Callithrix jacchus: one gene and its partners. The protein of the gene in region 1 binds, or shares a complex with, the protein of each later gene. Links are inferred from orthologs where the notes say so. Each region holds a gene or a part of one and is shown in the gene's direction. Other genes may lie near its edges.

Region 1 (3,643 bases):
TTTTTTTTTTTTAAGCAAGTGCCCTGGGGAGAAGGCTGTTTGTGAGAGTAAGCTCTGAGTCAGGTCACCTAAAAACCAGGCTTGTGAGTGGGAGATTTCCAGAGAACTGGTAGGTAAGTAAGATAATGACAGTTCTCTTATGGTCGGAGTTTTGGGCAGCTATATACTATTCTGTTCTTCTGTTTTCCCCACCCCAATGCCCCAGTGGTTGTTAAGCTCCTGGTTTTCTCAGCTCTGTGATTATGAGGCTGTTGCATTTCAAGGCTGCCATGGAACTGGACAAAGGGAAATGGACATAGGACAACTTAAAAAGCCACAAATCTCACCTTTCTTACTGAAATTCAGCCATTTTTCTTGAATAGACAGTCTTCAGATTGTTGCAAGCCTTTGATTAATTTCCAGGGTTCTGAAAAAGTTGACTTAGACTGTTTTTACTGGTATTTTGTTTTATGAAATAATAGATTTTTTGAGTTTATTTTGGTGAAAGTGTTTAACTTCTCTACTTGTCATTTAAAAAATATTAGGCAATAAAAAAAATTCTCAAAAAAAAATTAGACAAGTAACATAATTTTTTTGTCTTTTGTTACTTCTTTTGTAGCTGGGTGTGGTGGTGCACACTTGTAATCCCGTGTACTCAGGAGGCTGAGGCAGGAGAATCACTTGAACCCAGGGGGCAGAGGTTGCAGTGAGCCGAGATCACACCACTGCACTCCAGCCTGGGCAACAGAGTGAGACTCTGTCTCAAAAAAACAAAAAAAAAATAGAAAAGATCTATCTCAGTTATTTTTATTGCTAAACATTAATAGGTGCTTAATATTATTGTATAGCAAATAAACACATGAATGAATTTTTGTGTTCATACTTTGTCTATTCATATATTTATTCAGCATTTATTGAGCATTTACTCTGTACTACATAGTGGGATAGAGCTAAATAAGGTGTGGTCACTATTTCAAGAAGCTCTCAGTTTAGTGGGCAAGATCAAGAAAAAACAACTATAAGAATGTGTTGTGATAGAAAAATCTAGTAGCTGTAGAAGTTTTATCTTTGTACATATCCTCAGGGGTTGACACACCATCATTTCTCACTTGGACTATTGCAACTAGCGTCATCATCATCATCAACATTTTTATCTTTTCAATTCAGTTTTTATACCACAAACAAAATGATCTTTACAGAAGGATAATTAGGTTATATTATCCCATCTCTTTAAAATCCTTCAATGATTTTTATCAACCACCGGTTCAAATTGTGAGATTTCCTTTTTATAGCCTCCAATTCTTAGAAGTATCTGATTTCATTTGGCACTCATCTCAACTCATTCTGCTTTCATGATGTTGAGCTCATTCCAGTTCCTAGAGCACAGCACAACTCTTGTTTGTCTCATGGTTTTTGCACATAATGTTTCTTTTGCTGGGAATATCTGTTCCCCAACTATTGGCATAGCTGACTTCTGATCATTCTAGTGTCTGCTTAAATATTACTCAGAGTGGCTTCCCTGATCACCCACTTCTCATTCTAAATTAAACACTCTCATTTTACTCTATGCAATTTCTTCTCCAATATTTTTCTCAGGATTTGCATATTTGTAACTATATTTTCATGTATATTTGTTTAATCTCTATTCAGCTAAAATATAATCTTTGTGAGGAACAGTATTTCTTTTTGTCCATGGTATTTCCTCAGTAAATATTTATGAATAAATTAATCAGTGAATAGAGGACATTCAGTCAAAATATATCTTCATCTGCATTTATCTTATGGGAAGCCCAGTTCTACCAGGTAGGAATAATCTTGAAGGAGTAGTTTGTATTAGATGAAAAGGGTTTGACATTCTAGGATAACAATAGTAACATCAAGTGCAAAGCCCCAGAAGCGTGAGAAAATATGGCTTAAGAAAGCAGTTCTCAAACTTTTTGATTTTAGAATTCCGTAACTCTGAAAAATTATTGAGGACCTCAAGGGGGATTTATTTTAATGTAGGTTATATCTATAAATATTTACTATATTACAATTAAAACTGAGAAATTAAGAAAACATTTAATTTATTTAAAAATATAAACCACTATATGTTAAATAATACATCTTTCATGAAAAATAACTATATCTTCCAAAACAAAAAATAATTGTGAGAAGAGACATTATTTTATATCAAAGACAGCTAGGTTCTCATACCTTCTTCATTCAATCTGTTGCATTATTTCGTGTAGTTGAAGTGTGTAAAGAAGGTATGATCTCAGATAAGTGGTTGGAAAAGGAAAACATTTATTAACACCAACTTTATCAGAAAGTCTTTAAGTATTGGGAAGCTGTTAAACACATACAAATAATACAAAATTTTAAAGTTTTTATTGAAAGCTTGAATTTTATCATTGGCAACAAATATTGCTGGTTGTTTTCCTTAAAGAGATGGCCTTGCTTTTTTCATTTTTGAGAGAATGTCATCTGAATGCCCAAGTCTTTATAACCATAGTTATTCAATGGTAGTGGGTAATTAACTTGCTCAGGGTTACATAGCTAGTAAGTGGCAGAGCTAGGTATAGAGACCAGATCTTTTGGTTGTATTATGTTGTATTGCCCTATGTCTAAATTATTTGGACTTGCCAAAGCATGTCTTACAATAGTGTATTGTGTTTTTCCTAGAGAGCATGAATGGTTTAAACAAGATTTGCCCAGTTACTTATTTCCTGAAGACCCTTCCTATGATGCTAATGTCATTGATGATGAGGCTGTGAAAGAAGTGTGTGAAAAATTTGAGTGTACAGAATCAGAAGTAATGAACAGTTTATATAGTGGTGACCCTCAAGACCAGCTTGCAGTGGCTTATCATCTTATCATTGACAATCGGAGAATAATGAATCAAGCCAGTGAGTTCTACCTCGCTTCTAGTCCTCCATCTGGTTCTTTTATGGATGATAGTGCCATGCATATTCCTCCAGGCCTGAAACCTCATCCAGAAAGGATGCCACCTCTTATAGCAGACAGCCCCAAAGCAAGATGTCCATTGGATGCACTGAATACAACTAAGCCCAAATCTTTAGCTGTGAAAAAAGCCAAGTGGCATCTTGGAATCCGAAGTCAGAGCAAACCATATGACATTATGGCTGAAGTTTACCGAGCTATGAAGCAACTGGATTTTGAATGGAAGGTAGGAAATTACAATGTATTAGGATCATTTGTAGAAGCCATTTTTCTATATGATAAGCTGCTCTGAGCTGCTGAGTTGAGTATTAAGTGCAGTTTTTTCTAGTAATATACCATGCACATTAAAAACAAACAAAAAAATAACCTCTAAGGATGAAAACCAGTTGATGCTGGAAACCAACATTTTGAATTATAGTGTAGTGTTCTTGGTCAAGAAAAAAGTAATCAACTAGAAATCATCTGAGAAAACAGATTACTGGTTTCAGCATGCATCAAAGCGTTGGAAAATCATGAGTGTCTTCAAAGATAGTATGTTTTTACTTCTTTTTTTAGGGAGGTTTTTTCTTTTTTAGGGGACAGAGGCAGGTGGCTGTGATAGCTAGTAATCAATACAAATTATACCATCACACATATTTATTCAGTCAATAAACACTTTTCTCTAAATTGTGATATTCTCTCTTATTTGGCTCGTGCTTTTAATGCTTCTAGTACATTTTCC
Region 2 (4,399 bases), on another chromosome or scaffold:
ACAGTTATTGAGTGTTTACTAAGAGTCAAGTGCTATGCTAAGCATTTTTATGCGTGTTCCCAATTAATTCGCAAATCAAGCCTTTAAAGTCGGTGTTATTTTAATTCCCATTTCACAAGGTGCCTGTTACTAAATGGTAAAACCAGAATCTGAACCCAGGCAGGCTGAATTCGGAGCTCATGCTCTTGAACATTATTGTTCTCTCACTTGTTTCCGGACCTTGCAATATCATAGACACTTCCCCATAGTGACCTAAAAATTGTTTCTTCCTTTTTAAAAAGATATTCTACAAAAAGAATGTATTCCGCTCATTTAGCCATTCTCCCTCTGAACAACTTTTAGGATTTTGTAGTTTTTCATTTCCTTATTTCACACCAAATCTAAGATTCCATTGATTGTAAAACGCATCCAATTTCAGAAATTAAAATATGTGGGGGTGTGGGGGGTGACAGGTGCATCTTAGAATATGCTTTTGCATGTAAATATTTTGTAAATAATGCTTGTAAATAATTTTCTTGTGTCTATTTCTGCAGAAGTTTCCTAGGAATAAAATTGTGTGTCAAATGAAGGTGTATTTTTTATTTTGATGCGTACTGCCAAATTCCCTCCAGGAAACTTTACCTTAGTCATCCTGTGTTTCTCATTTCCTTAGCACAATGTCTGGTACTTTTCAGGTGATAAATAAATGTTTAGTGGGTGAAATGCATGACCTGACCCAGCAAATGCAATGTATGTTGAGATAGTCACACACCCAAAAAAACACAAAATATGACAATGACTGACAGTGAGAAGATGAGAATATTTTACCACCGTATTTGTATGCACTTCTTGTTGAAGCACTGGTTAGGGTAAACGACAAATGCTAATGCATCTTACGCAGAAGGATGTTTCCGAAGTGATTACAGGGTATCTTGCAAAATTATGTATCCAAAGATTAAACACTCATTTTAATAATACACTAATAACGCCAGCATTTTACAACCCCCAACCTACTAGATATAAGAGATTTCCAGAGATCTTATGGTCTGCCATTTTGTCTTTAATTGCACGACTGCCTGCACCCCTGACCCTAATCTCCAGAAATCAAGATTCTGCAGTGGGGGCTGCATTTAACAAGCGCTCCGGGTTAACCTAATGAATTGTAAAGCGTGAGAGCGCGTGCATTAAAAGGGCTTTAAGAAGAGGGGTTTCTTAATTAGATTTGCATTTTAGAAAGATCCCTCTGGCTGTAGAGTGTAGAATCAACTAGAAGTAGGCAAAGATAGTTAATGGCATGTTCAGCCCAGCGTGTGAATGGCCCAGACGACCGGAGCGCTGGGACGCCCCCTGCTGGCCCTCAGCAGCCTCGTCCTGAGCCGGGCCATAGGCGGGCGGCTGCTGACTGCGACTGCGCGCTCCGAGGCCTGCAGAGCCAGCGCAGGGGCACCTGCAACCGCACAGCTCAAGACCGGAAGCGGAAATAGAATCGAGATAGCGTCGCGCGCTTAGTCGGCCGCAGCCACTTCTACGCCCTAGGCCGGGCAGATTTACGGAGTCGCCGGAAGCGGAAGTCGCTGAAGGGTGGTGGAGCGATTGAGAGTCGGTTTATCTTCGCGCTCTTTTGGGTTTTCGCCGCGGCTTGCCTGGGCGGGTAAAGCACTATTGCGAGAGCCCCGCAGCCCCGGTGACTCGGCTGAAACCAGCTCCCGGCCTCAACCCTCGCCCAAGGGGGTGTTCCAATTCCTTCCGCGGACTCCTTGGGACCCGCGGTTCCGGGAGTCCCTTGCCCAGGGTCCCTTTCTTGCAGTGAGGCTCCGTCCAGCTTCCCCGTGTCCCCGCAGACCCCCCATCATGGGCAACACGAGCAGTGAGCGCGCCGCGTTGGAGCGGCATGGTGGCCATAAGACGCCCCGGAGGGACAGCTCGGGGGGCACCAAGGATGGGGACAGGCCCAAGATCCTGATGGACAGCCCCGAGGATGCCGACCTCTTCCACTCCGAGGAAATCAAGGTGCGAGGGGTGTGGGATAATCCAATTCCCATTGACTAATGTTGAGGAGAGGAACCCTCCACTAGATTCCCGCCACATCCTTTCGAAAACCATCAGAACGAGGAGGGAGGTGGTACCTTACCCGGTGCACTTAAAAGCCAGATGGTCCTGTAAGAGCCCTCTTAGCAGTCCAGGAACCTGTGTCTAATTAGCAATATGAGAAAGTCCTCCCAAGGGAGGAGACACGTACTTCGTTTAACATCATTAAGGAGAAGCAGCTCTGGGACAGAGTTTCAATTCTTAATTAATTCAGAGAGTCGAGCTAACAGCATTTGAGTCCCATCCTCCACCTTTCTCTTAGGTGTAATTAATTTCGCCGCTTTGAGACAAATTCCCTCACCTTTACACAGACTGCAACTTTTGTAAAAGTTAGAGAGTTTATTATCCATTTTGGAGGCAAACCAGGTACATACACAAGCTGAAAGCGTGGAACGGCTGACGGCAGTTGCCGGAGGTGTTCAGTTCTGTCAACACTTGATTCACCCTAAAGTGCTGGCCGGTTCGGCCTTTTTTTTTTTTTGAGACGGATCTCTTTCTGTTGCCCAGGCTGGAGGGCAGTGGCACAATCTCGGTTCACTGCAACCTTCATCTCCCAGGCTCAAGCCATCCTCATGCCTCAGCCTCCCGAGTAGCTGGGACTACAGGCGTGCGCCACCATGCCCGGCTAATTTTTGGTATTTTGGGTAGAGTTGGATTTTCACCATGTTGCCCAGGCTGGTCGCGAACTCCTGACCTCAAGCGATCCACCCGTCTGGGTGATGGGATTACAGTCATGAGCCACTGCTCCCAGCCTCACCCTTCTTTTTTTTTTTTTTTTTTTTTTTTTTTTAAGTGGACATAGAAAAGTCATTCGACTTCTAGAGGTCGGGGGTAGTGAGGGTCCATCTAAAGGAGGCAGTCAGCAGCTACGGAACTTCCTTCTGATGTTGTTTAAATAGGATTTAATTGCTTTTAAGCCGTGCCAACATTTTTCTTCCTGGTGCAGCCTGTTTTAATTCATCAAAACCTCAGGTGACTTTTGACTCCTGCTTCAACCACACTCCTGTTAACCACCTTCATAGGGCGGGTATTTCCAGCTGCAGGGCCGAATCCAAGGACACTTAGTGATTCTTGCAGCTGGTATTTATGTGTTATGTCTGAAAGGAACTACTTGTTTCAAGGAACAAAGTAGGTTTAGGAAAGATAAAGCTGCCCTCTGCCCGACATACCCTGTTAGTATCCAATTTCATGTTAATCATCATCCATTTAATTGCCTGGCAACTCATTCCACCTGTGTTTGTCCTCGTGTAGCGTGAAGTGATCACATCTCACACTTTCTTTTGGATCTTAGTTTTGAGCCTCCTACAAAGGAGCTGCTTTTGTGTGTCCCTACAACATGTAGTTTGAACTTGCTTTCTGAATTTGTTGCATTCTTGAAGAGCTGTGTGCAAAGTGACGTTTCGAATCATGTTTCTCCAATGACTTGACTGTTCTTTACCCAGGAAGTAATTTTGGTCCCTGGTCCCAAGAAGGCTCTTGAAGACACCAAAAGAATCAAAACTATTTTCTTCAAGAAGTATTTGTTCTGTTACTATTCCAAAACTCCTACAGGAAGTGTTGAGCACACACATAATCTATGGGGAATGATTTCAAGCAGCGCCTATTCTCATTTCATCAGAGGTTACTGAAATCATGTAGCCCTGGGTTGAATGCCCCAGATTCCAAAAAAGCCATAAATTCTTTTAACTACGCCAGTGCACTTATTTTGGGTATAATGAGTTATCGTTAGTGTGAAGTGATTCCAGTCTGTTATTCTTTAATAATGTAGATCTTATTAGAATTCAAAGAATGCAGGCATCATTTGGATAAGCTGAGGTCAGTATTTGAAATGAAGGTGCTAGAAACCTGCTTAATACCCTTAAGAGTCTTTTCCAGCCTGAACCTCCTGCTCTTTTTAAGTCTTTGACTTCTGACTAGGAAAAAAATCTAAAAGGTGCATGACTACATATATATCACCCAGATAGAGTTGAATGAGTTTATTTCTCACTTATTCTGGAATACCTCAGTTATACAGAGGCTACCACACTGGAGGTTGTCGTTTATCCTAATGAGGGTTCAGTCTTTGTCTTGCCTTTTGTTCCCCAGTGCCTAGACAGCACTTTGTGAGTAGATTTTCCCTTCCTCAAAATCTGGATTTGCCCATTTTCAAGTTGACAGCTCTAGAATTGTTCCTCTTAAATTTTCATGTACAGTCATCCGTCACTTAATGATGGGGACATGTTCTGAAGAATACATCATTAGGTGATTTTATCATTGTGTGAACATCATAGAGTGTACTTACACAAACCTAGACTACCCACCTAGTCTATCAGTCCGTTATCACACTGCTCTG
Region 3 (4,296 bases), on another chromosome or scaffold:
GAACTTTTCTACAAACAGAGCTGCTCACTGAGAAAGAGTGGCCTATGTAACTTGGGGTTTCCCATCACTGGGCGTGTTTAAGCCTAAGGGGCATATCTTGTTAGAAATGTGTTACAGTAAACAGTATTCCTGTATCCTTCATTCCACAAATGCTTATGAAAAGTCCATTCTGTACATGAAAAGGAATCAAATCTGGATCTTCTCTCTCCCAGCTGTCAAAGCAGTGCTTCTCACACACGTTAAAATGCACATTCTGAACCCTGGGGCCTCGATTATGAACCCTGGGGCCTCGATTCTGTATTTCTAACAGGCTCCCAGGTGATGCCAACGCTGCTAGTCTGTATAATGCAGAGGAATAAACGTTTCTAGTAGGGAATGAGACATACAAATAACTATAATACAAAGTAAGAATTTGTAAATACCTTAGAGATTTCAGTAATTGTCATAAAAAACCTGGATCCCTCCCAACGCTAGGGCTGTCTTTGCCCTTTTTATACCTTTAGTGTTCTTTCTGACGTTTTCGTTGTTGCTCTCTTCCTTGAATTTTATCTCTTCTGAGGTTTTTCACTGTGTATGCTGTTTCGTAGCCTAGGAGAGTCTTTTCGTCCGACTCCTAAGACTAACATTTTACTAATTTGTCAAGGTCTATCTCCTAAACACTCCATCTTGAATTCTTCCCTGCGACCCCAGTCCAAGGAAGGGCTGACAGTTCCTTCCTTGTCGCTCCCCATAGAACAATTTTTTTTTGTTTTGAGACGGAGTCTTGCTCTGTAGCCAGGCTGGACTGGAGTGCAGTGGTGCGATCTTGGCTCACTGCAACCTCCGCCTCCCGGGTTAAAGCGATTCTCAGGTCTCAGGCTCCTGAGTAGCTGGGACTACAGGCCCGCGCCACCACGCCCAGCTAATTTTAGTATTTTTAGTAGAGACGGGGTTTCACCATGTTGGCCAGGATGGTCTTGATCTCCTGACCTCGTGATCCACCCGCCTCGGCCTCCCACAGTGTTTGATTACAGGCGTGAGCCACCGCGCCGGGAGCAACGACCACTGCTTCCTTCTGCCTGGAGCTGGAAGTCCGTTTTCTTCTTCCCTATGAGGGTCCCACCTGCCAGGTCGCCTAACACGCAGATGCTGCCCAGAAAACGTGCTGGCGCATCTGAGGCCGGGTCGAAAGCCGCTCCGCTCCTCCCGGCACCAAGCACCGGAGTCCAGGGATGCGGCCTCCGAGTGTCATTTGGGGACGTCCCTCCGCCGGGTAGTCTCAGGGGCCCAGCGGTCCAGCCATCCCGGGCGCAGCCTCGCCAGGCTTCACAGGCCCCGCCTGGCGCCCCCTCCTGGCGCTAGAGGCTGCGCGCGGCTGCCCACCATCGAGGCGGCGGCTAGAGAGGCCGGCGGGCCCCGGGCGCCGCGGCTGCGGGCCGCAGGGAACGCGCACGGGGCGGGCTCCGCGCCGCCGGCCTTGTAGCCATTTTAGGAGGAATCACGGATCTGCAGGGCGGGGTGCGGCTTCAATTTCAATAACTTTATTGGTGGCGTGATCTGCAGAACAGCCATCACGTCAGTGGCCCCTGGAGGAGTGAGCGCTTCGCCCGAGGTGACTGGGGTGGGGGCGCCCCTGGCTGTGAGTGCGGGGACGCGGGGGACGTCCCGATAGCAGGGTTCCTGGCTAGCGGCAGCGAGCGCGCCGGGGCATTTGCAGGCGTCCCCGCAGGCCGGGAGAGAGAGGGCTCCGGGGCTCGGCGTCCCTGGGGCGGGGAATCCCTTGCGCGGTCCCACGGCGCAGGGGCGGGGCTGGGGTGTTCACCGCCAGGTGTTGTTCCCCGCGGTAGGTGGTCCCCGCCGAGCTGCAGCCATGGGAAACACCGCCAGCGACCGGGTGTCCGGGGACCGTCACGGCGCCAAGGCTGCACGCGCCGAGGGCGCCGGCGGCCATGCCCCGGGGAAGGAGCACAAGATCATGGTGGGAAGCACGGACGACCCCAGCGTGTTCAGCCTGCCCGACTCCAAGGTAAGTGTCCCACGCGCCCAGCTGGTGGCTGAGCTGCAGCGGGTTGGTTTCCGGGCTCCCGTTCCCTTTCTCGGTTCTTTCCAACGGGGTACTGAACCGGGCGGTGGTTTTTTGAATTAAAGGGATTTTTCCGGGACAGAGGTGTTGGACGGTAATTCCTCTTGCAGTGCCGCCTCAAAATTATAAAGAGAAGGAGTTTTTGTTTTCCTGGTGTTCTGACTACTCTGTTGGCCACAGTTTTAGGATGGGGACAATAGACAGCCTCCCCCACCACCTTGGTTTTTCCTAACATGCACGAGTGCCCTCTTCTATAGCGTTGATGAATTTGTAGTTTGTAAGCTCTGCTGGAAAACTTCAGAAGGCAGGTTGCAGGAGCTGCTGACTATGGGTGGTCTTTCTTTGCCTTGAGGTGGCTAAATGAATTTCTTTTTTTCTGAAAATTTCTGCATCAGTATCATTTTTGCCCTTCTAGCCGTTCTGCTCTTGTGATCTCTTCCCTTTGGCAGGGCTGTGAGCAGCAGCTACCTAGTTATGGAATACTTTCCTCTAGTCTTGGGGACCAATTAAGGACATCATTTGGTTGACTGCTTTATTTTTGTCTCATACTTTATAGTTATGGTTGAGGTTGTGCCACTTTCACGCCCCGCTGCTGCTCCTCAGGTGGGAGAGCAGATGATTCCACGACTTGTTTACTCCCCAGTGGTACTTCAAAATGTTGCGTGGCTAAAAATCCACAACCCAAATCTGCCCTGAAGTCCTTGCCCTCAATTCCAAGTACTTTCAGGAAGAGGGCAACTTATTTTCACTCTGTAAGAAAGGACAGATGGAGCTGATAGCAGTGGTTGCCATTCTGATGTTTCCAATCGCTTTTAGGGTTGTCAGGATGAGATGTATGTAATTCTTCCAAGTAGGCTGACGGGATGAGATGGAAAAATGGAGGGCTTGAGGAGATTGGGGTGTGTTTGATGTTTCTTATCATTTCATCACTTCCCAAGGAACTGGAGCTTTAGAGAGTGAATAGAGGATTATTTGCCATATTGGTAACGCATGGAATTTGGATTCTATGATTGATTTCCTTGGATCTCAATTGATAACATAATCACAGCTGGGCGCAGTGGCTCATGCTTGTAATTCCATCACTTTGGGAGGCCGAGGCGGTCAGATCATTTGAGGTCAGGAGTTCGAGACCAGCCTGACCAACATGGTGAAACCCTGTCTCTACTAAAAATACAAAAAAAAAAAAAAAAAAAAATAGCCGGGCGTTGTGGGGCATGCCTGTAATCCCAGCTACTCGGGAGGCTGAGGGAGGAGAGTCATTTGAGAAGGTGGCCGTGGTTGCAGTGAGTCTAAATGGAGCCACTGCACCTGCACTCCAGCCTGGGCGACAGAGTGAGACTCGGTCTCAAAAAACAAAGAAACCAAAATCACAGACAGAGAAGTGAGAGTGATTAAAAGGAGCCTTTCTTGGGGTTTATTATCCATTCTTTTCTTCCCCTGAGAATTTATTCTGCATCATTTGGGCTTTCTACAAGCCATCTGACTTTATGTCTTTGGAGCTTTCTAAAGGTGATCTGCCTCATTGTATTTTTATCCTTTTCCTATGTTGATGACTCAGGATTTAAATACAGTGTATTTGTCAAACTGTGACTGCAGTAATCGGTGTCCTGATTAAAAGCCAGGTTGCTCTGTCTGATTTGGGGCCTATTTTGGATTATTCTTATCTCTCACCTCAGTCTTGCCTTTTGTGAATTTAGAAAATTATTCAGATAATTTTCAGATTGTCTGAAAATTAGTTCAGATAATTCTTAAGGTCTTACTTAAATCTAAAATTTTATAGTTTTCAATCTGCCCTCTTTACTTCTAACCTCAACATTTAACTGTAGTTCTAATTGTTTTGCCCGTTTTCCTCGTAGTTTTGCTGAGTAACTTGGAGTAAACAGTCTTTCTGCTAGTGAGCTGCATTCATTCCTACCACAGAAATGTCATGTCATAAGTGGAAGGGCTTTCCTCCAAAGCTAGGCATATTAATAGTTTGTAGCTTTCAAATTCTAAACTGAAAATCCTGCCGTAAAAGTAAGTGATAGAAACAGGCAGGGGCTTTGAATGCTTGCCTTTTTCAGTGGACTAGTTCAGTGGTTCCAATCCTGTTTGCATATAAGAATCACCTGAGATTTCTTTAAATACTTTATGGAAAATTTGAAACATTTACAAAGTAGGAGAAACAGCATAATGATGTCTATATACGGGCCACCCAGTCTGAAGAATGATCAGATCTCTAAGGAATGACATCT

The links. Proteins that work in one complex are often made in the same cells at the same time.
Region 2: the proteins of PRKAA2 (region 1) and PRKAB1 are in contact, whole or in part, in a crystal structure (PDB 8BIK), measured with the Homo sapiens proteins. The link is inferred for Callithrix jacchus from reciprocal best matches to the Homo sapiens genes PRKAA2 and PRKAB1. Residues at the interface, in NP_006243.2 of Homo sapiens: Gly9, Val11, Lys12, Ile13, Thr21, Lys29, Lys31, Asn48, Arg49, Arg53, Asp56, Val58, Ile61, Lys62, Ile65, Gln66, Lys69, Val82, Ile83, Ser84, Thr85, Pro86, Thr87, Asp88, Phe89, Phe90, Met134, Met164, Ser165, Asp166; in NP_006244.2 of Homo sapiens: Pro79, Thr80, Val81, Arg83, Thr106, Ser108, Asn111, Val113, Ile115, Gln154, Val155, Asp159, Phe160, Glu161, Val162, Phe163, Ala165, Leu166, Asp169, Ser170, Lys172, Cys173, Pro186, Tyr187, His188, Gln189, Glu190, Pro191, Tyr192, Ala202.
Region 3: the proteins of PRKAA2 (region 1) and PRKAB2 are in contact, whole or in part, in a crystal structure (PDB 6B2E), measured with the Homo sapiens proteins. The link is inferred for Callithrix jacchus from reciprocal best matches to the Homo sapiens genes PRKAA2 and PRKAB2. Residues at the interface, in NP_006243.2 of Homo sapiens: Gly9, Arg10, Val11, Lys12, Ile13, Thr21, Asn48, Arg49, Val58, Gln66, Gln81, Val82, Ile83, Ser84, Thr85, Pro86, Thr87, Asp88, Phe89, Met134, Met164, Ser165, Asp166, Gly167, Glu168, Phe169, Leu189, Ala191, Glu194, Pro253; in NP_005390.1 of Homo sapiens: Val60, Ser61, Gln64, Glu67, Asp68, Ser69, Thr73, Gln74, Ala76, Pro78, Thr79, Val80, Ile81, Arg82, Ile106, Ser108, Val113, Ile115, Val155, Ser158, Asp159, Phe160, Glu161, Phe163, Asp164, Lys167, Leu168, Gln191, Met193, Tyr194.

Annotation. Positions count from the first base shown.
Region 1 is NC_133508.1:93,780,938-93,784,580, forward strand, and holds part of PRKAA2 (5'-AMP-activated protein kinase catalytic subunit alpha-2), read left to right. Parts: intron 1-2,643; coding exon 2,644-3,148; intron 3,149-3,643. UniProt on the Homo sapiens protein: Catalytic subunit of AMP-activated protein kinase (AMPK), an energy sensor protein kinase that plays a key role in regulating cellular energy metabolism.
Region 2 is NC_133510.1:122,778,288-122,782,686, forward strand, and holds the start of PRKAB1 (5'-AMP-activated protein kinase subunit beta-1), read left to right. Parts: upstream 1-1,552; 5' UTR 1,553-1,830; coding exon 1,831-1,989; intron 1,990-4,399. UniProt on the Homo sapiens protein: Non-catalytic subunit of AMP-activated protein kinase (AMPK), an energy sensor protein kinase that plays a key role in regulating cellular energy metabolism.
Region 3 is NC_133519.1:7,290,454-7,294,749, reverse strand, and holds the start of PRKAB2 (5'-AMP-activated protein kinase subunit beta-2), read left to right. Parts: upstream 1-1,449; 5' UTR 1,450-1,591; intron 1,592-1,826; coding exon of another isoform or gene 1,827-1,849; coding exon 1,850-2,005; intron 2,006-4,296. UniProt on the Homo sapiens protein: Non-catalytic subunit of AMP-activated protein kinase (AMPK), an energy sensor protein kinase that plays a key role in regulating cellular energy metabolism.